Rhinolophus ferrumequinum: one gene and its partner. The protein of the gene in region 2 interacts with the protein of the main gene of each other region in a biochemical or structural test. Links are inferred from orthologs where the notes say so. Each region holds a gene or a part of one and is shown on either strand. Other genes may lie near its edges.

What was found.
Region 1: the proteins of RPS6KA1 (region 2) and ARHGEF11 interact in a test that uses a peptide from one of them, tested with the Homo sapiens proteins (2 studies listed by BioGRID and IntAct). The link is inferred for Rhinolophus ferrumequinum from reciprocal best matches to the Homo sapiens genes RPS6KA1 and ARHGEF11.

What each region holds. Positions count from the first base shown.
Region 1 is NC_046305.1:1,327,132-1,334,147, forward strand, and holds the start of ARHGEF11 (rho guanine nucleotide exchange factor 11), read right to left. Parts: upstream 3,053-7,016; 5' UTR 1,829-3,052; coding exon 1,797-1,828; intron 1-1,796. UniProt on the Homo sapiens protein: May play a role in the regulation of RhoA GTPase by guanine nucleotide-binding alpha-12 (GNA12) and alpha-13 (GNA13). Acts as guanine nucleotide exchange factor (GEF) for RhoA GTPase and may act as GTPase-activating protein (GAP) for GNA12 and GNA13.
Region 2 is NC_046292.1:18,178,851-18,185,922, reverse strand, and holds the start of RPS6KA1 (ribosomal protein S6 kinase alpha-1), read right to left. Parts: upstream 3,084-7,072; 5' UTR 3,017-3,083; coding exon 2,882-3,016; intron 2,037-2,881; coding exon 1,920-2,036; intron 1,655-1,919; coding exon 1,573-1,654; intron 1-1,572. UniProt on the Homo sapiens protein: Serine/threonine-protein kinase that acts downstream of ERK (MAPK1/ERK2 and MAPK3/ERK1) signaling and mediates mitogenic and stress-induced activation of the transcription factors CREB1, ETV1/ER81 and NR4A1/NUR77, regulates translation through RPS6 and EIF4B phosphorylation, and mediates cellular proliferation, survival, and differentiation by modulating mTOR signaling and repressing pro-apoptotic function of BAD and DAPK1.

The sequences.
Region 1 (7,016 bases), on a different chromosome or scaffold from region 2:
GTTTAGACAGGTGGGCCACAAAGCGCCACGGGTTCAGATTCAGAAGACCTGCAAGTCTGACACCAGACAAGCCAGGTGTCCTCTCTGAGCCTCAATACCCGTTCTGTAAAATGGGAAGAATAGCCTCTGCTTTGTCTGCCTCATGGAAATACTGCGAGGCTCGAATGTGATATGTTCCTATGAAAGCACTTAGAGAAACGTACCATGCTATACAAATCCTGAGAACAGTGGGGCTATCCAAACTCCCAGAGGAACATGTCCCATCAGCGAAGGAACCCTCACTGCCCCGTTTGCACCCCCAAACACCCAGGTTTCTATCTTCTCACATCCCTGAATTCAGAGAAATAGTCCACCATCCAAATCTCCAAAAGGCAAGTGCACTAATTCCCCAACTCCAAGAGGAAGACAGGGAGGGCAGCCATGTAGCCGTCTTCAGCCCGGGCCGTGCCATGCCTCAGCTCTCCCTTTACAAGAGTCCAACTACAGAGAAGCCAACAAGAAGTGGAAGGATGGAGGTTTGAACCAGCCACGCGCACTTTCTGTTCTCTGTGGCTGTTTGCCTTCCCCTCTCCACTGCTAAGTCAGGTTCCTGTGTGGGGACTGCTGGACCCATCTAAGTAGGGCTCGGAGGCCATACAGAGGTCACTGTTTGGGAGAGAGAAATTATATGCACCTTAGGCCACATTCCAGAGCCAAAAAGAAATTATTCTTAGCATGGATTAGCAAAGGTTAGGTGGACACAAAGAAAGCAACTATTTCTTTGCAAACAGTCTTTCTTATCTCGCCAATACTATATTTCCAGGTCCAGTCCTTTCATTTGCTTGTTCAGTCCTGTCCAGTCAGAATGTGCGTGCAGTACCCACCAATGACCCCCTCCCGATTCTTACGGAGAAAGTGGGCGGACAAGGAGGGGAGGGAGGGAAAAGCAGATACCTTACCAAAGCTGTGAACCATTGTGTTACCAGTGACAAGGCTGGAGAGACTCTGGGGGGGTGGGGGGCTCTAAGGGCCAGTGCATCTGCCCATCAGGCCGAAGAGCCCCAAACAACTCCTTCCGGCTCAAGGCAGAGGGAAAGTCCATTTTGCAGAGTCAAGCTTATTAGAAACGCCTTGGAAGATTAAACCTACAGCATTAGCCGGTTGGCAGGTCTCAAGTTAAAATTTAACCTTGGAGAGGAAACAATTCTAAAGTGACCTGTGCATTTTGGGGCTATTATTAGCCACCGGTAAAAATCCAGCCCTGTAGGGGTGCAAAGGGTGTTTCTGTGCCATCATTCAGGCCACGACCATCGTCCTCATTTCAGACACTGGATCCACTCCACCACCAAACCCCACCATTCCACAACAACCAGCCCGGTGGAGGCCCACGCCCCTGCCAGGGCCCTTCCCCCAGCAGCTCCAACACCTACAGCCAATCCCAACCCACCCTTGCAGACTCAGACTTGTGCCCACCTCCCACCCGCTAGGCTGGCAAGTTAGGGACTCAAATTTAGCCTCCAGCCTGGCAAAAGTCAAAGCCGGCTGCAGGCACTTCCCCCCTCCTCGCTTCACTGTCTATTGCTTCAATTGAAGAAAAAAACCACTGACTCAGAAGACGTTTTGAACATGGACACACACAGGGAAGATAAACACACATGCCGGACAGTCCCCGCAGACCAGTGCCTGCTCCTACCTCCCCAACTCCCACTGCCCACCCAGACCCTCCTTTTGCAACCTTTGATCAAAATGCAACAAACACTCTCCCTCCCAGTGCGTCCTTAAGTAAGTATTGAAAAACCCATTATTAGCAAACCTACCTGTCTATACTCTGCGGTAACCTTACACTCATGGTTTCTCGGTGTCTCCACGGTTCCAGAGTCCTGTAGTTTTGACGTCTTGATCAGGATTGAATCCTCGCAATTTTTAAGAAAGGTGAGAGGAGGGCTTCCCAACTCGAAGACTGAATCCTCTGTCCTCCAGCTCTCAGGATCCTGGTAACTGAAGCTCCATTCTACTTCTACCAGTTAACATGGTCTCCTTTCTTAGACCCCCTTTCCCCTCCCCCCTCTTAAAAAGAAAAAGAAAAACGAAAGAAAAAGAGGAAAAACGATGACCTTAGAAACCAAAACCCAACCACAAATCTCTTCAAGGTTAGCGCTATGGGCTGAAAAAAATGAATCACAGAAAGAATATGCCTTCAAAATATCAGTCTTACTGCAAAATACAGATAAAAACCATCCTTTTAATCCAGTTTTCCCAGCTGTCCTTCTGTTGGCAAGAGAGCCTTAAGCTCCAAAGGGGGAAATTCTCTGGTCTCCAATGCTTAAAACGACAACAGATATATATGAGGGAACAACAACAAAAAAAGGATGAATAAATCCGAATTGGCACCTGAAAAAAAAAATCTTCCAGCTGATTTGCACGGTAAAAAAAAATAAATTAAACCATACAATAGTATGTACACAACAGCATTCCTTCCAAGTCCAGTGCGACCCTGGGAACCAAAATTATGAATTTCCTTTAAAAAACAAAAAAGCTTTTACATGAAAGGTTTTGAGATTCTGAAATGAGCCGATCGCACCCAAAAAAAAAAAAAATCAAAAAAAAAATCAGAGAACACCTGAAATGAAAGCTTTCTACCTTTAAAATGGTAGCAATCACCACAAAGCAGAGACCCTCTGGAAACCTCGTCCCCTTCCCTTTCCTGGAAGCGCGCCGGTTTCTGCGCCTTCCCGCCCGGGGCTCAGGCCCAGCCCGGGTTCGGCCTGCTTCGGGAGGCCGTTTCCTGAGTGGGTTCTGCTCCGCTCGTCCTCATCCAGGCTCCGGGGCCGGCCTCGCCTCCGCCCCCATGAAACGGGTTCCCGGCTCGCGTGCCGCACCGTCGCCCGGTCGCCCGGCCTGGCGGCCGCTCCTTATCCACAAGCCGGCTGAGTCCTGCGGGTTCGGTTCGGCTGGGATTCTCCTCCACACCCGCCTCCGGGCAAGTCCGACCGCCGGGCTCCCCGCCGCAGTCCGCCCTGCCTACCCGCGCGGGGCGCCGCCGACCTCGGCTCCAGCCCCGCTCGCCTCGGCGCGACCGCCGCGCTCCGGCCTGGGCGGCCGCGGGGCTCCGGGCTCGGGCGCAGGCCGGGAAGGCGGGCGTGCGGCTCCTTCCGGGCCCCTCACCCCTCGCTCGCCGCTCGCTCGGGCGCAGGCCCGGCCGGCCGCCCCTCCGCGCCCTCCGCCGTCCCGCGAGCCGTCTCCGTCCCTCGCTCGCGGGGGCGGGGCCGCAGGCTCCTCCTCCTCGCGCCGCAGCGGCGGGGACGACGGGGCGGCGGGGACGGCCTTTCTCTCAGGCGGGGCGGCCGGGCGGTGGGGACGGCTTCTCCCTCAGGCCGCGGGGACGGAGCGGCGGGGCGGCCCTTCCCTCAGGCCGGGCGGCGGGGCGGCCTCTCCTCAGGCCGCGGGGACGGAGCGGCGGGCGGCGTCTCCCTCAGGCCGGCGGCGGGCGGACCGCCCTCCCGGCCTCGCAACCCCGCGTCGGCGCGGCCTAGCCGGCCCGGTGCTGAGCGGGATCCACGGCTTTTCCCGGCGCGGCCCGCCGGCCCCGCCCCCGCCCCCGCCCGCTGTTCCCCTTTAACCGCCCTGCGCTCGCTCGAGACCTGACCTGTGTGCACCCCCCACCGGACGGGTGCCACCCCCTCCCCCGGGGCCAGGTGTCCCCCGTGCGTGCACCAGCGCCACCGCGCCGACCCACGCCGCTGCTCACGCTGCCTCCACCTCTTTGCTCATCGATTTTTCAGAAATCTGTCGCGGCCTCCTTCCCGGGTGTCAGGAACCCTGTTGACCGCCCGCCCCCCATCTCTGGGCCCCCCAGTTCTAACCCACCGACACCGCGGAGACACCCGTCGCTGTTGGTTCCGGCATCTTAACCCCCGGGCTGTGAGTGTTGGGACTCCATGGCAAAGGCCTTTCAAGGACAGTTCTGCTTTCATAACCCCCTCTCGTAGGCTCGCGGTGTCCAAATCTTTCCAAGTAACATGACATTAGTCAGAAGGTCCCCAGCGTTCTGGTTAAAAATAATATAGAAAGGAAACTGCCGCTAGGACTGGGAGGTGCTTCTGGAAAATGCCCTGCGGGCAGTGGCGCGGCTGCCGGTCCTCGGTCCACACCACCTTGTTGTCCTTGGATGGGTGAAGTGTGAGATCGTGTGTATTTACCCACACGCACACGCCAGCAGGAGGGAGCCGAGTGGCCCCTGCAGTGTTGGAAGTGGGTTTGCAGACAGCAGGAGGCAAGGGGACTAAGGAGCATCACGTGGGGCGGGGCGGGGGTGGGGGCGGACGGGACTTAGAATGATCAGGAACGTCCCCTAAACTATCCCAGGTGCTGGTTAGCCCTGAGAAGAAAGCCCCGCTGCCTTCCTTGCATCTCCACCGCACCGTGGCCGGGACTCCCAAAGACACAGGAAGTCCCAACTGCCCCCGACCTTGTTAATTCCCTTCCCATACCACCTGCACAATCGTGCTCCCAAATGTGACACTTCCTGTGGCCATAGGCCCACTACTAGTCGCCTTTTTTGTCATGCTTTCTTAACCTATGTAATGTTTTTTTAAACAGTTATTTACATGTATTTTATTACATACCTTATAAAACATGCCCAAGAGTAGAAATATTAAAAGATGGAAAGAAAGATGAAGTACGTGTGAAAAATCATACTGTTTAGTGGAAGTTAATGGCTGTCATAACGAAAAGATACTTGTCAGAGGTAGATCTAAAGGAAGAAGTGTGTCCTTGATTGCATTTATTAAATTATGGTACTTTCCAATCCCATTCATCACCGTGTTAAGGCTTTTAATTGAAGTTCAACTATTAGATTGGTGCAAAAGTAATTGCGGTGTTTGCAATTATTTTTAACCTTTTAAACTGCAATTACTTTTGCACCAAACTAATAGTAAACAAAATGCAAGTATTGACTTAGATCGTCTCCACAACCTTTTGAGTAAGTAATCATCATCCCCATTTTCAGATGGGAAACAGGCCCAGAGAGGTAAAATAAGTTGCTTAGGGTCACAGAGCTGGGAACCCACGCAGTCTGGGTCCAGAGTCTACTTAACTGTCAACCGTACTGCGTCTGTGTTACAGGCCCTATGCCAAGCATTAGGGGGAAGATAGCAGACAGGCAGGGCTTACTGAGGAGAAACGGGAGGGTGGGGCTGGAAGTAGAAGTCGGTGGTTTACTCCTCAGCCCTCCAGAGAGTTCTTTCTCCCACCTTGCAGTGACCTGCAAGTCTTACCTAGTGCTCTCGGTTCTTCGTCTTCTTTCTCAGTATCCCTGGAAATATCACCCCCAGAAATTTGCCCCCTCATCACTCTTGAGGATCTCAAGGCATTTAGTGGAAGAGGGGCTTCTCACCTTCACTCCCACTGAGGGGTGGTTTGCTTCATCTCCATCACCTCCCAGGTATGCACTCCAGCCTCCCAAGCTGATACCTTCCTGTCTTTGGTTACCCTAGAAACCAACTTTCTCCCATCAACACCCCTGTAGCTGAGACAAACTGAATAACAGGGAAGGTGCCAAGATAAATTGTAAAGGAAAATGTGTGAAAGAAAACCAGTTTTAGATTGAAGGCTAATATTTTGGGAAGTTGGATGTGTGTGTTATTTTTTTCCCCCTTGAATAAGTAAAAGTTCCCAGGATCAAATGTGAGATACAAAAAAGGTGAGATGCCAAAGGGAAGATTAAAAACAAAAAAACAGACAAAAAAAAACTTGCCCAAAGCCTGCTTTAAAAATTGAAAGAAAAGTGAAAAATGTCCTTTAAAATAAGAAAATTGACATACAATAAATTACACATACTTAAAATATACAACTTGATAAATTTTGACCTTATACACACATGAAACAATCACCACAATCAAGATAATGAATATATTTATTACCTCAAAACTTACTTTTGCTCCGTTCTAATTCTTTCCTCCCACTGGATTCCCTCCCCCCGTTGTAGTCCTTGGGTGATAGCTGATCTGCTTCTTGTTACTATAGTTTGCATTTTTTAGAATTTTATATAAATGAAATAATAGATTGTGTATTCTTTTTTGTATGACTTTTACTCAGATTCATCTATGTTGTCAGGTATAGAGTATATCAACTCATTGCTGAAGGGTATTTTTAAAATTTCAATTTCTAATTGCTTACTGCTAAGACAGAAATACGGTTATTTTCGTATGTTGATCCTGTATCCTGCAATTTTGCTAAACCCACTTATTTTGTAGATTTCATCAGACTTTTTATATAGATGATCATGTCTGAGAATAAAGACAATTTTACTCCTTCCTTTCCCATATGTATTTCTTTTTCTTGTCTTAGTGTGCTAGCTAGAACCTGCAGGGTAATGTTTATAGAACAGGTAAGAGCAAACATCCCTGTCTTGTTTCCGATCTTAGGAGGAAAGCATTTGTTTTTCCACCATTAAATATTATATTATTCATAGTTTTCTCATAGATGGTCTTCTATCATATTGTGGGTGGTTGTTTTTTATTGTTAGATGTTTGTATTTTTCCAAATTCTTTTTCTGGATTGATTGAGATGATCACATGGTTTTTCTTCTTTAGTCTGTTGATACTGTGGATTTTCAATTAACCAGTCTTGAATTTCTGGGATAAACACCACCTGGCTGTGATATATTAATCTTTTTTTGTTTTGTTTTTTTAAAGGTTTTATTGGGGAAGGGGAACAGGACTTTATTGGGGGAACAGTGTGTACTTCCAGGCCTGTTTTTCCAAGTCAAGTTGTTGTCCTTTCAATCTTAGTTGTGGAGGGCGCAGCTCAGCTCCAGGTCCAGTTGCCGTTTTCTAGTTGCAGGGGGCGCAGCCCGCCATCCCTTGCGGGCGTTGAACCGGCAACCTTGTGGTTGAGAGGACGCACTCCAACCAACTGAGCCATCCGGGAGCTCAGCGGCAGCTCAGCTCAAGGTGCCTTGTTCAATCTTAGTTGCAGGGGGCGGAGCCCACCATCCCTTGCGCAACTCGAGGAATTGAACTGGCAACCTTGTGGTT
Region 2 (7,072 bases):
CAGCCAGTCTGGGCAACCCATTTCTCTGTGTACTCTCGGCCTTTGCCTCTGGGGCTCCCCTGCGATGCTTTCACCAGCCTTTTCTCCATCTGCCATAAAACTCTCCAATTCCAGTCTGGGGGCTGGTGAGAACAGTCACTTGGAGAGCTAGTTAGAAAGGCAGATTCCCTGGGTCTCAAATTCAGATTCATGGGTCTGAGTAGGCACCCCCCACCCCACCACACACACACATGTTTTTAGAGAATAAAAGTCCTCAGGCAATTTGATATCAGCAGGTTCTTCTTTGACTCAGTTTAGGCCTCACCTCCTCCAGGAAGTCTTCCTTAACCTGCCATGCTGAGTCAGGATGCTCTTTCTTACAGGGCTGTGCTTTCCCCTTCGGAGCACCTTTTACATGCTAGTTTAACGTTTCTGTTTCCCTCACCAGACATGGCAGGGACCACACTGTAGTTAACTATTCTAGTCACTGTTTCCCAACTAAACCTTACATGTTCAAACTGCCCTTACACTTTTGCTAAGGGAAACAATTCCTCCATCCTGGGGTACCCTTCCTCTACCATCTTCAATCTGGAGAACTCCCAACTCATCCTTCAAGACACAGCTCAAATGGTTACTCCTTATGTGAGCCGACCCCACTGGGAGGCTGCACCCACCTTCCCTGGGCTCCCCAGTCGCAGCGCCAATTGCAACACCCTGCAAGGTCTGCCTTGCCTCTCCAGCCCCACGGGAGCCCTTCAAAGCAGGGACCAAGTCTTTTCATCTTTCTCTTTCCCCATGGCTCCCACTGTCCCTGCTGAGGAATGACTCCTACCCCTACCAGGCTGGCATTGGGGCACCAAAGCTACATCACCCCACAGATGCCCCTTCATGGGCCACATGACTCCTAATGTCCCCAAGGCCAACACTTCCAATTCTCCCCACCTCACCCCAGCCTGGTCAGTGGCCAGTCTGGTTCCCAGGCTGCTCAGAGTCACTGCCCAGCACAAAGGCTACTCCCAATCACCCTCATGCCCTTTGGAAGTCCTGGAATTCCAGGCCTGGACTCGGGCTCCCTCCGAACCTCTCTGCCATCCATCTCCATGGACCCGCCTTGACTACCTCTCCTACCCACGCAACCGCCTCCCTGGGCTCCCTGCCTCTTTGCTCACACCCTTCTCCACTCTGAGGTCTCCCTCAGACTCTTGTAACATTGTGAAGCAACTCTGCTGAGAGGGGCCTCTGCCCAACCAGCCTGAAACCTGATGTCTGAAGGCCTCCAACACAAACATACTGCACCCCTGCTCCCACCTCCTTCCAGACTACATACTGGCACTTGGCTTGGCGGTGGGGGTGGGCGCGGGGTGCAGTTAACCCTGGAGATCTTTTCTTCTGACTGGACCCTGTCTTCATCATAAGGAGGGGTGGTGGGTAGTAAGGGACAGCTGAGAACAGGCCAGTGTCTCCACCTTCAGACCAGGCACTCCTGGAGACTGAGCTCTCTCCTGCATCAGACTTAAGGCCCTGGACAGCTGGGCCATCTCACTTGGTCCTGTGCTGCCCTGGGCTCTGCCTGAGGAGGTGTCCTCCACTCACCTTTCAGCGTTGCCTTCTTTAGTACCTTCATGGCGTACAGGTGCCCACTGTCGGGCCGGGTAACTTTCCGCACCAGGAAGACCTGAGAAGGCAGCACGGGAAAAGCAGAGGAGAAGCTGCGGAGAGGACTGAGCCCATCAGCTCCCACCCTCCAGGTCCCAAGCTGCCCTCCAACTTCCCTGAGTCCCACCTTGACCTTTTGCCCTCCCTGGGTACCAAGGTGACCTCCTGTCCTGCCTTGAGCCCCATCAACCCTTGCCCTCTGGTACTTTGAGCCCCACAGTGAACTCTCACCCCACCTCTGGTATGACCACTGTTTCCCTCCCAACTGTGGGATCAGGACTTACTTTGCCAAAGGATCCCTGGCCCAGAACCTTGAGCAGCTCGAAATGGGATGGGTCAGCCTTCTCAGAGCCAGCCTTCACATGGTGCGTGATGGAGATCTCCTTGAGGACACCCTCATCCTGATGGAGGAACACAGCAGGTGGGCACGTGGGCCCCATCCAGGCCAGCATGGGGAATGTCCCCCATCCAAGTCCACTCACACCAGATCTCAGTAGACGGGGCCCTGCAGGCCCAACCAGACAGCTGCCCCGACAGGGCCAGCCTCCAGGTTCATCAATACCAAAGGGCCTCACAGGCCAGAGGGGGTCAAACTACTAAGGTGTCTCTGCTCCTATTGTTCCTGATGCTCCGGCCTGGTCACACCCAAAGGGATGCCCAGGCATGGCCAGGCTGGCCAAGCTGAGCCAACTGCAGGCTCTGGCTGAGGCCCACAGACCAGCCCCAGGTCCTCCCCTCCCCCTGCTGTCAAGTTTTGGTTTTGCCACAATAGGAAGTAGGGTTTATTCTCACACTGGGGAGGCAAAGCTGGGTTTTTGTTCCTGGACAGGATGGATGACGGGATCCTTTTGGCCAGAAGGACAGAGCTGAGATGCTTAGGGACCCAAGAGGCACCTGAGACTACCCCCAACCCAGTAAGTGCCAGTCTGGGGCAGGTAGGAGCTAAGGCCAGACTCCATGCCCCACCCTCTGAAAGTTCCTTCATACAAGTCTACTAAAAACCGCTCTTCAGGTCCCAGTTGTCCTAGGACCCCTCGCCCTCTGCCCTCCCTCCGGTCTACCGGTGTCACTCCCTGGACCCCTGAGTGCCTCCTCACTCCCCCAGGGAGCAGGTCTGGGTAGGGTCCAGTCGTCCAGCAGGGCCAGGCCTGGGCTAGGAGAGCCCAAAGACAGCTGAGGCCACACTGGCTGCCCAGGCACCTGCTCCAAGGGCCACAGGCAGGCCAGCTCATCCGGGCACACTCACCGAGTCCCGCCTGGGGCCAGAGCCAGGGCCAGGGGCAGGCAGAGCAGTCTGGCTGATCCTGGGCCGCTGCTTCCTGGGCAGCCAGGGGAGCAGGGCCCAGAGCCGCAGACGGGGCGGCTTGGGATCCTGCTCCATCCGCCCGGCAGGGCCAAGGCACCATGGCAGGAGCAGGCAGCGTCCGGGGCTGCCTCGGAGGTGGCCGGCCCGAGGCGGATGTGCAGAGTGAGGGCGGGGGCTGGGCCCGGGCCACCAATCACGCAGGGCCTGTGGTTTCCTCGCTCCAAGCCTACACCCTCACCACGTTCCTTTCCTCTCTCTTCCCCTGTCCCCATTGCCTGAAGGCTGCCCTCTGCATCCCCTGTGGGCCTGCAAAGGGAAAGCCCCATACCAACCCAGCTGCTGAGGAGCAGATAGGCACCCCACAGGCAGAGACCGGCTCCCAACAGATAAAGACAGATGAAGGTGGGCATCCAACAGGCAGAGGAAGGAGTGTACACATGCCCAACAGGCAGAGGTAGAAAGAACACATATCCAACAGGCGGAGACAGATGGGGACAGGTACCCACAAGCAGAGGCAGGAGGGGACTCATACCTGACAGGCAGAGGTGGACAGAGACTCATACCCAACCTGCTGAGGCAAACGGGAACACATATCCAACAGGCAAAGACAGATGGGGACATGTACCCGACAGTCAGAGACAGATGGGGACCCAACAGGCAGAGGCAGATGGGGGCTTGCATCCAACAGGTGGAGACAGATGGGGACACATACTCAATAGGCAGAGACATAAGGGGACACGAACCAACAGACACCTAACACGTGACATGTACCCAACAGGTGAAGACAGGCACTCATCAAGTACAGACAGACACAGGAGCCCAACAGAAGCCAGAGGCAGGTGGGCAGCAAACAGAGACTGCCAGTCAGTGAGGCCCAAGCAGACAGACACATAGGCAGGAAAGACACCTGGACACCCAAAAAGTCGGACCCCGAACTCAAAGGCAGAGCTGGTCTACCTGGGGGTGAGGAAAGAGGTGAGGGGATGTCGCCTGCAAACCCTCAGCACTTGGGAGAACAGTCCAGTATTTGTGGCAGACCCATCTCTGAGGTCTTCCATTTCTTTGGAATGTTCTTCCCATGCCAGGTCCTGAAGGGGGGCCCTGGACTACGAAAGTAGGCCAAGCGGGATATCTGAGTGCAATCTGATGGCTCTGACTCTCATCCAAATATCCCAAAAGCAGTTGTGCCCATTTCGGGAACAGGAAATTGAGGTCCAGAGCACAGTGACTCACCCAGGCTCAAAGTGCACTGGAGGCAGAGCCAGCTTGAACCCAAGTCCTTCCCCTGGCTATTGCTTGACCTGCGATTGGGAGGCCTCAAGTGCCAGGAAAGGGTGGGTAGGTAAGTCAGCCGGAGCCATGTCCAGCCCTTCCAGCCCGCCCCCTCCCTCGGTACTAGGGTCAGTCCGGGGACTTCTCATTCTAGATATCGACCCTCACAGACACAGACACATCCTCAGGGGACCCTGAACAGCCACAAAAAGCTGCAGCCACTAAAAGCTGCACGCTAATCAGGCTCCTGAGTGTAACCCCAGGGGGGACAGGCAGAAAGCCTGGCTCAGAGAGGGGCTGCGGTGGGCCAAGGCCACACAGCAACCCCCGTCCCCAAACCCTGCGGTCTGAGCCTCCACCTGTCTGTCTCTGGCTGAGAATACTCCCTGGAGACAGAGCCAGTCACCCGGAAACCCCAGGGGAAAGAGTCACCCCCAAACCTATTCCTTGCCCAGAGTCATGATGACAGACACCAGTGGAGGCAGGGAACCCTCTGCTCACCTTTCTGGGACAGGGGAGTGGATCTCTCCCCACCCAGGGGAGATCTGCCGGGCTCTGCATGGTGGGGCTCAAGCCAGTGGCCAGAGGGCCCCGTTAGTCCCTCACTTCTGCTTTTTCAGCCTTCCTGGCCCAGAAGGCAGGGTCCCTGACCCCCTCCTTCTCACTTCCCCCTCTGCAGAGAGGAGGGACAGAAGATGGGACAGGCTTCCCTGCTGAGGAGGGGACACGGTAGACCCCAAGGCCATGACTGCAGGGGGTGGGGCCAGGGATACACCCCTCCTCGTATCCTCTGATCCCGAGAAAGGGGAGACTAGAACACAGAGTCACGAGGTGATGAGGGGCTCACATAGTGGGCATCCAGCAGCTGCAAACATCCCCTTAAGAGAATGAGGGCAGAAGTCAGCAAGCCCATGGGCTCTGACTGCCCCGGCCCAGAGCACAGACTCTCCTTCCCCCCGCAGTGACCTCCCCATGGCTGGGCCCACCCAAAATGGCAGCCCACAGAACAGGCACCACCATAGCAGCCCTGCCCTGAAGAACCTGCCAGTCCAGCGCCCTGGGATGGGCAGAAAGCCCTAGCAAGGACCTACAGAGGTCTCAGTGGAGGAGCAGGTAGCCTGGGTCAGGGGTTGACCAGGCCCAGCCCCCTTCTACGTGGCCTCGCCGCGTCACTCACACCAGTACACCCACCGGAACTGATACGCACACAAATACACACAAGCCGATGATCGGAAACGATTTCCACAGACATCCCCTGTGTGGAAACACACGCCCCCACGTACACACGGACTTCCCCTTCCAGGCCTCGCAGGGCCTCTAGTAACAGTGTGATGCTGGTCTGCCAGGCTTGTGAAAGATGCCTGCTTAGACGGAGGCTTCTCATTGCACCCCCGCTGCTTCAGGCAGGGGTGTGGAGATGGGGACAGCCCTGGGAGCCCCAAAACTCTCTGGTCCTGTGCCACCGGGTCCCCCTCACCCTTGAGACCCTGAGAATCAAAGGAAGACTCTGTGGCTAACAGAGTACAGGAAGGAAACAGTCTCCGAACTGCCTTCACTGAAGGGTACGTGCAGGGCCTGGGGGGGCCTCTGGGTGGCAGGAGGGGAGGACAGGCACCAGACCACATCCCCTGGTCCCTGCCCCATTCCTCCCTAAAGATACTTCCTCTTATGTACTTCCTTCCACAAGGCAGCTGCAAGAGAAGCCCAGCGCCCCCTGACCTGATCCTGGGTCCCGAGGGCCCCCCTGGGCCTCCTTCCACTCGCTGCAGTGCAAGCCCACGTGCCAATCCCTGGCCCTAACGGACACCAACAGCTTCTTCCCCAGCTGACAGCATCTGCAGGGCCTATCAGGTGCTGCCCACTCTGGTGAGACAGATGTCCCCAGACGTATCTCCCAGCATGCCTCTGGGCCGGGCAAGAGGGGTCCACAGTTCCCAGACATCCTTGATGGGGAGCTGGCCTCAGGCCCTAGGTCAGGACTGGCATGGAGTGACACTGAGAATTGTACCTCCTACAGATTGAGCATTTATTGCACAAAGATGTTCTTTCCTTCAACCTTTGCTGATGTGGATTCTGGCAGGCCCTGTTTCTTAGCTCCAAGGGAGGTATTGTCATCCCATTTCAGAGATGAGGAAACTAGGCTCAGAGAGAAAGTGACTTGCCCAAGTCCACATGGCTAGAAAGCGGGAGAGCTAAGACCAAAATCAAAGTCTGTTTGCTTCCAAAGCCTACACTTCTAACCATTTCATTATTGCCCTCCCTGCAAGGCTGGCCAGCTGGCCTCCCCTTTGGACATCACTCGTAGCTACTGTTCCCGCGCTCTGTCCCCAGGCCAGGAGCCAGACACTGGGAGGCGCCCGTGTTAAGGCTAACGCCGGTGTTGACCTCAGGTAGATCCAGAAAATAAATACAGGAAAACAAAACACAATTGTCCAGGGAGAGCTGCCGTCAGGTGCTGTGGGTGCCCAGGGGCAGTAACCATCTGCCTGGGGTGAGGTCCAAGAACCTTCCAGAGAGGTGGCAGTACAACTGGAACTTAAAGAGGATAGGAGTTGGCCAGGCAGAAAGGCGAGAAAAGGCACTTCATGCAGAGACCAGCATGAACAAGAGGCTGAGGCCAGGAGTGCAGGGTGGGAAGTTAAGCACTGGCCACTCACTAGCTGAGTGTTTCCAGGCAAACTCTTTCTCTGTCTGAGCCTCACTTTCTTCCTCTTTAAAACAGAGGTTAAAATGAGATGTTCCACTCTCAACAAGGTTGTTTCTAGAAGCAAAATGGGCCACAGAGGCAAAGGGGCATTGTAAACAGAACATCCCCCCGGATGAGATGGCAGGTCTTACTGCTGTAGTGTCACCTCTGGG